2 linked regions of the Coturnix japonica genome follow. The protein of the gene in region 1 interacts with the protein of each later gene in a biochemical or structural test. Links are inferred from orthologs where the notes say so. Each region holds a gene or a part of one and is shown on either strand. Other genes may lie near its edges.

Region 1 (4,026 bases):
TAACATTATGATTTATTAAAGGGTGCTCTTTCTCCTACATGCTTGCAGCCTGACATCCATTTACTCTTAACAAAGGCTGTGACTGTGTAGAAGGATAGATAACAGGCTGGTAGGTGAGTTTTCTATAGGTGTTCTACTCAATCTTCACCTCTGAATGTAGAAATTGATCTCCTGTCTACCACAGCAGAACTTGTGGAGGCAATTTCTTGCAGCTTCTTCTGTGTTGACTGCTATTTGCTTATCTCTAGCGCCAGAAAAAGCATTGCTGCCAACAGATTCTGTCAGCTTACATATCAGGGGTGTGTGGAGGTTCATGAGGACATCAGTGTGCAATTGTGCAGATTTATGTTTGTTTGGGTTTTTGGTTTTTTTTTTTGTTTTTGTTTTTTTTCTAGTATTTTCAACAGATATTATAAAACTTGTACTGCTGAGATAAAATTCCAGGGAACACACAAAGAATTTTACAGCTGAGAGTGTGTGGCTCAGTGTACACTACAGGCACATATCTCTTAAGTTACCATTAACATGTAAGTAAAACACGTCGGCTAAAACCAAGGAAAAGCGGTCATCTGTAGCTGTACTGTAAAAATGGAAATTCTAAATTATAATCCTTTAATTCAATTTGATATGTATTGCAATTCTGGGGGAATAACAAACAAACAAAGAAACCCAAACCTGATACATATAACACTTACTTTGCTTTAAGACTTACGAAGCAATATTGCAGGAAGTTAAAGATATAAAGATAATAATAAAAATAAAGAAACTATTGAATAAAAACCCATTAAGCTGAAAATGTTTGTTGTGTACTGGAAAACACTGTTGAAACTGAAATTGATGTATTTTTTAAATATTTCAAAAATCTCCTTGGGTCTCTCCAAGACTTCTCCCCACCCTTCTTTATGCTTCCTTCAACACGTAGAGAAATCTCACACTGGAGGGTTATGTCACATGCAGGAAATGTCTAAAGCATCTAATATGACAAAATAGGGACATTATTATATGAAGGCAGAACATACTTTTTTGGCATTTATATACAAACAGCCACAAACAGACATTACCTTCATGAGAGATTTCTTTCCAAGGATTGGGTGGATACATGAAAGCAGCATTTTGAATCTGATCATTTATGTCCTCATCTTCATTGAATGGGAATGTACCACTGAGGCTTACATAAATGATAACACCCACAGACCACATATCCAGAGATCTGTTGTAGCCTTTATTCCTCAGTACTTCCGGAGCAAGGTAGGCTGGTGTTCCTACAACTGAACGCCTGAAGGATTTCTCCCCAATGATTCGAGCAAAGCCAAAATCACAAAGTTTTACCTGTTTAAAGAGAACTGCTATAGTAAATAAGATTTTTATTATTTAATACAGTTTACGTACTTTTATCATGGTTTAGCTGTATAATGCATATCTCCTGTTCCTTCAGGAAACTTTATTTCTTTTAAGCTTCCCTTCTTAGTCCACCAAGGTATTAAACTAGATTACCAATTCATTGCATTCCTTCATGTTATAAATAAACTGTAGTAGAGCGAAAGCAAAAACACAGGGCAGCCTAGAATGAAGGGAATGAAGTTTTGGAAGGGCTAAACAGCTTAGAATCCTTCCAAACAGAAGATTTTCTTTATAGAGGACCTTTTCCTGAATGAATCAAGTTGACAAAAGTTAGTTCTTGAATCATCACTTTTTTGGACATTCAAATCTAATAATTTTATGTAGTCATTTGAATCAATATAGATACATGCTGTTGTTTATTTTATAAAACAATCAGTGTTAACACTTATTAATAAGAAACATTTATTTTAAAGGAAATTTTCTACTTGCCTGTGGGAAAGGATCTGCTGATGCTAATAATACATTTTCTGGTTTGAGGTCACAATGAACTATATTTTTGAAATGAAGATGTCTTAAAGCAACAAGGATCTGTGAAGAAACAAATCAGAATGAAATTAAGTTTTAAATATTGTATATTTGGGGGGCTTATATTATTTTGACAGCAATAGTGACTAGAGAATCTAGGACTGCTGCAGAGAGAAACAACCCATCAAGAATGCATCTTTCTCAACAGTGTCCACAGTGCAAGGAAAAAAAAAAAAAAAGGCCAGCCATGTTTCACTGTTTGAAATATGACTGTTCCCTCTCCAAGGAGGTTATGCTCTTAACAACTTTGAAAAGTGCATTCTGAATACTTCTCTTCATTTGTTTTGTTGTTGTTGAAACTTTTAAAACAGAAACATCTGCAAAGTTGCCTTCCAGATATAAATTATTCACTCAAAAAATTTCATGGAAATATTCTGTGATCCAATTTTAGTATTTTCTTGTGGTGATGAAACAAAGAGCTTTGCATGCATTTTTATGCTGTTATGTGCAATAAAATGCCAAGGAAGTGTAATAGACATTCATCCTATCTCTGTGGTTTTAACTCAATTCCTTCTGTCTGGTCAGAGGCTGCCAGAATTTCCCACTCTATTAGAACAGGCAGTGGGTAGGGGCAGAATGAACCCATTAAGGCAAGAAACCAAATTCTAAAGCTGGTCACCGTTTTGCCTATGAAAGCCTGAAAGGTAGAAAACTTGTTATGTTCAATTTCTAATAATAAACTTCCACTGTAACACAACTGTTCCTGCTCCTTTCTTTTTCTTGCCTTAACAGAAAAACAGGCTGCTGTGAATCTGAGGTGGCTCATTACTCAGTTGTGTATCTAAATTTAAACTTATTGTGGGCAGCCAAGGAAACAACATGATAACATGACAACAAAAACCAAAAAAACCCAAACAGATCACATTGTTAACAGATGTCACATAGGAAGACAGACTCATTTTATCAAAGGTAGTGCTGAGATCCAATCTAAATGCAGAAAAGAGGCACAGAAATTCATAGCATAAACTACAATGATTAAATATGAGGAAATTCAAAAGGCCCACATTTCTTTCTGCAGTTCTTCAGCAGCCTGCTACTTGTGTTTTCAAGTCCTGTCTTGTGCTAAATCCTTCAAGCATAAGAGAACGCATAACTTGATGTCACTCCCTTCCAGCAGCCAGGCAATTGCATGTGTATTCATGGCTAGGTCCTCTTAATGGCTTAGTAGAAATCAGATAATGTACACAAAGATGTATGTACCATCCCTGATATTATTAGAATCATTCTAATAAAATTCATATTATAGAATCATTCTAATAATAATCATATTATAGAATCATTTTATGATTCTATGATTATTATCCAGGCTTTCATGAATGAAGGTGAAAACTTATGTCAAGATCAAAACATATGAAACAGTGATAACAACTGACTTCAAATATCCTTATAGGTCTATGATCAATTACTTACCTGAGTAATTAAAAACTTTGTTATTCTCTCTGGCAATCTGCCCTTTTCACTTGATAAGATCATCTCCAGCATGTCTCCATGGAGTTTTTCCATAACAACGAACACTCTTTCTGGTGTCTCGAACATACACTCCAAATTTACAACTCCAGGATGATGAAGATTCTAGTAAAAGTAAATACAACATTTGAATAACACAGATATCTCTATATGATTAGTAGGTTTAATGATTACATAACTAACCTCCGGGCTCCCCTAAACCAGAAAATATTTCAGTTTTTCTTAATTTAAACTTTATATTTCATCTGTAGGCAATAGTCATGACATTTCTAGGGATGGTATAAGAGAATGCATTAACTTAAAATTAGTCAAAAATACATTATTGTGCCTTGTGCTTTAGATTGCAGAGATTATATAGATCCTAACAGAACATTCCCAGTACTGTTAGTCTTGACTATTTATGCAGATTAGGCTGCAAAAATACTAGAATTTTCAGCAAAAACAGTAGCTATTATCAACTGGAATAATTACATCATCTCGTATTTATTCCTTGTTCATTGCAGGGGAGTTGGACTAGGCAACCTTTAAGAGTCTCTTCCAACTCAAAAGATTCTATGATTTATAGTAATGAAAAAATAACAGCAAAATACCTGTAAAATTGCAACCTCGTTACGAAGTTGACTTTCCTGTTTA
Region 2 (4,228 bases), on another chromosome or scaffold:
GCTCGCAGTGCAGGAAAGTTGCTCCCCATTCTCATTGCTCTGAAAATACCAAATCTTCTAATTCACACTGTAAATCCATCAATGGCCATTTTATACACATTTGCCTTACATTTAAATAACAAGACCAACACAGTAATTCTTTCTGAAAGAGTTTCATTAACTTCATGAGGAGCATTACCAATAGGCACCTTTTTTTTTAACAGAGTAAATGCATCCCTCCATTGAAATGACCGGCAGTGTCGGTTCACAGCACAGACCTAATGCCCACATGCCTCATCACAGCCCTATCTGAACACAGACAGGAGCACTCCGAGCTGAGACGACAACATCCTGAGGTGATTCAGAGCATTCATCATCCCTTCAGGATGCTGGAGTAGCAGGACATGACTAAATTTGGTGATGCTGGAAGCAAAGGTGAGGGATTTCACTGCTTCACGTAGACACTGTGCTGTTTGAAGGGAGGTTTGAGCCTGAGGCCTTTAGGACCAATGGACATCGATGGTTACTGATGTCAGCGCGGGTCGCTCCCCGCTCAGGGCCCCACGGCACAGCGCCATTAACTCTTCACGAGCAATTTCCTGTCACCGGGCTCCTGGGGCACAGCTCACAGAATGACCCGGGTTGGAAGGGACCTCAAGGATCATGTAGTTCCAACCCCCCTGCCTGGCAGGGCCACCAAACATACACCTTTACTAGATCAGGTTGCCCAGGGCCCCGTCCAACCTGGTCTTGAACACCTCCAAGGACGGGGCATCCACAACCTCCCTGGGCAGCCTGTTCCAGGACCTAACCACTCTCCTAGTGAAGAACTTCCCCCTAACATCCAACCTAAATCTTCCCTCTCTCTGAAATCTCTCGCCCGACCGAGCGGCGGCACAAAGGCAGCATTCCTGACAGGAGACAACGCGCCGGGAGGGCGCCGGGCAGCCCAGCCCGCAGCCCAGCCTCGGCACCACGCACTGTGTCCTCCCACAGCCGCCCTACGGAGGGGGCACCGAGCCCGCCCCGCACGGCCCCATGGCGACACAGCCAGGGAGCTAAAGCACGGGCAGCCCCCACAGCACGGGCAGCCCCCACAGCACGGGCAGCCCCCACAGCACGGGCAGCCCCCACAGCACGGGCAGCCCCCGCCGGCCGCCCCCGCCCGTTCCCGCGCCGTGTCGGTGCCGACCCACCGTGGTGGAGCGGGGGTTGGGCGGGGGGGGGGTTGTAGCAGTATCGCCATGGCGACAGTGACGTCATCTCACCCTGGATCTAATTGGAGGAAACCCCGTGGCCCCAGCCGCAGCCCACGGGCCAACCGAGCTCGCGCCCTGCCCGCGCTCGCCCCCGCGGCGGCGCGCTGCCCTCGGATTGGCCGGCGGGGAGCGGAGGGGCGGGGCCTGGCTCGCAGGAGAGGCCGCGATTGGCCGCGTGGGCGCGGGCCGAGCGGCGGGTAGGCTCGGCCGTGCCAACGCCCTTTAGCGCTGGCTCTCGCCCGCTTCGGGAGCGGCTCTTTCTCTCCGCCACATCCCGAGCGAGGCGCAGCCGATCGGGTGCGGCCCGGCCCGGCCTAGCGCAGCGCAGCGCAGCGGACTCAGGTGAGCGCGGCGTGGGCCGCTTCCCGCCGGCCGTGCCGCCGTGCCCCGCCTCGGCGCCGCGTCCTCCATTTTGTGAGCGCGGCGTGGAGCGCTCGGCGGTGCCGGGTTGCGGAACGAGCCGCCGGGCGGCGCCGCCATTTCGTACCCGCCGGGGCTTCGTCCTCCGCGCCCGGCCACGCTCGTCCCGCTCCGCCGCCCCCCGCTTCGCGGTCCCCGGGGACGAGGCCAACGCGGAGCCGCCGGGCCCCGACCCCACCCAGCGGCCGGGAATGGAGGGGCTCCGTGCCGGGGCCGGGGCCGCTCCCGCCGGGGGGATGGTCCCGCCTCGCCCCGCCGCCAGGAGGCGAAGCGGCCCGAGCTGCCCGCCCGGCCCCGCCCGGCCCCGGCGTTGTCTCCAGCCCCGCTGAGCTGCGGCCTCAGCTCCGAGCGCGCTGTTCTCCTTTCTTTCTTTTTAAATAGCTTTTTTTTCTGTTTCCTCCTTTTTCTTTGCCCTCCCCTGCGGGGTGAAGGCACGTGGGGAAGGCCCTCGGGCTGCCTGGGAGCTGGGTGTCCTGCTGTGCGGCTCCATTGAGCAGCTCTTAAGTGTGTTGGCACAGTAAGGACAAAAGCCGCTGTGGTACGTTGGTACGACTGCCCGGTGCTCGGTCCTCTGGCCGAGGGACTGTGACCCATCCCCGGCTGGGTTTCTGGGCTGTTGCTTCCCCAGGGTGGGCCCGGTACCAGTGCCTGCTTCTGCCCAAGGGAGGGACGGTGCCAGTGCTGCGCCATGGGATGTACTTGGGAATGGGGAGCTCCCTACAGTCCCAGTAAGGGGGCTGCAAGGACACCATCCACAGCGTTGGCTCCTGGAGTCACGGTTGCTGTCCTTCTCCTGGCAGGCTCTGAGGCTCGTTCTCTTGCTGGCAGAGTGACGTCCTCAGCTTCTCCTGCCTTTGCTACAACACTGCCCTCGTCCTGCCGCCGGCCACCATGGATAAGACCGAGTTGATCCAGAAAGCCAAGCTGGCGGAGCAGGCTGAGCGCTATGACGACATGGCCACCTGCATGAAGGCGGTGACGGAACAGGGGGCTGAGCTGTCCAACGAGGAGCGCAACCTGCTCTCGGTGGCCTACAAGAATGTGGTGGGGGGGCGACGCTCTGCCTGGAGGGTTATCTCCAGCATCGAGCAAAAGACAGACACCAGCGACAAGAAGATGCAGCTTATCAAGGACTATAGGGAGAAGGTGGAGTCTGAGCTCAGGTCCATCTGCACCACGGTGCTGGTGAGTGGGGCCTTTCCTTTTTCCGTGTTTTATCAAAAGAGAGAAGCGGGATGCTGCTGTTTTGAGGAGGGTGGGAAATGGGCTGGGCACTATGTGAGCTATTATGCTGGAGTGGGTAGTTCAGTAACTTTTGCAGCTGCCATATTGGTTACTTTGAGACAGAAAATCATCTGCACTTTGCTGCGGGTGCTGTATATGCAGAAGTAATCGAGGTGTGCTAAGCTGTGTTTGAGATGCACATCTGATGGAGTTACCTGTGTGCAGTACTACGCTAGCTGAGCACAGAGATGCAGGGAATTTAGGCTTGTGCTTTGGTTTGTAAGCTAATCTTCACAAGGTAAGCTGAAAAGAAAATGAAAGCCCTTTATTTCTGAAGGTTGGTGCTAGTAACCTGTTAAATGCATTTAAATTAATGGCGTTCATTTAATGTGCTGCTTCATGTGAGGAAAAACACTCTTTAAAGGCCTTAAAGAGGCATTTTTTAGATTTTCTTTCCTAGGTAATAAGGTATGATTTCATAAAGGAAGACATCTTCCTTGAAAGTAGGAAAGAAAAAGGTAGAAATCTGCTTTGTCACACTCAAGTTGATTTAGTGGGGGCTGTTAAAAGTGAATTTGCAGTTATTTTGGACTAATGCACAACTGTGGCTTGGAAACAGGATATTCCATGACAGGTATTGTGCACCTGGGCATGTTTCAAAGCCCAGCAATATATTTCCATGTGAGGAGCAGAATTCCAGATGCTGTTGATGGTGAAGCAGCATTGCAGTGCAGCAGGAGCTCCACAGACCTGTGTCAGCAACATGGGAAGTGTGCAAGCCTGTTGTGTGTGATCAGGGTCTACTGACTGCAGGAAGCTGTGTGTGTGTAGTGCAGTGCTGATGGTGTGGCATGTCATCTTCAGTGGTTAAGCTGTGTATTTTTGATGTCTAGTATTGCAAGCATGAGAAAGGAAGTGAGTAAGGAAATAAACAGTTTTTGATTTAACCCTGAATCGGGTTAGGAGACCTGAGGTTAAAGATGGCTGGTTTGGAAGTAATGGATTTTGCATCTTGAGAAGTGTTTTGGCTCATGTACAAGGGTGCTTTGGATTGTATTGAAAATACTGTGTGCTTCCTCACATGCTGCCTCCTGGATTCGTTTCTAACTGTGAGTCAGAGGCCTTCTATAAAATCACAGAATCACAGAATGACCCGGGTTGGAAGGGACCTCAAGAAACAAGCAAGTCCAACCCCCCTGCCTGGCAGGGCCACCAAACATACACCTTTACTAGATCAGGTTGCCCAGGGCCCCGTCCAACCTGGCCTTGAACACCTCCAAGGATGGGGCATCCACAACCTCCCTGGGCAGCCTGTTCCAGGGCCTAACCACTCTCCTAGTAAAGAA

Evidence for each region.
Region 2: the proteins of PRKD1 (region 1) and YWHAQ form a complex in vitro, tested with the Homo sapiens proteins (2 studies listed by BioGRID). The link is inferred for Coturnix japonica from reciprocal best matches to the Homo sapiens genes PRKD1 and YWHAQ.

Annotation. Positions count from the first base shown.
Region 1 is NC_029520.1:31,300,329-31,304,354, reverse strand, and holds part of PRKD1 (serine/threonine-protein kinase D1), read right to left. Parts: coding exon 3,984-4,026; intron 3,499-3,983; coding exon 3,337-3,498; intron 1,930-3,336; coding exon 1,831-1,929; intron 1,330-1,830; coding exon 1,062-1,329; intron 1-1,061.
Region 2 is NC_029518.1:87,878,912-87,883,139, reverse strand, and holds the start of YWHAQ (14-3-3 protein theta), read left to right. Parts: upstream 1-1,428; 5' UTR 1,429-1,580; intron 1,581-2,458; 5' UTR 2,459-2,549; coding exon 2,550-2,843; intron 2,844-4,228. UniProt on the Homo sapiens protein: Adapter protein implicated in the regulation of a large spectrum of both general and specialized signaling pathways. Binds to a large number of partners, usually by recognition of a phosphoserine or phosphothreonine motif.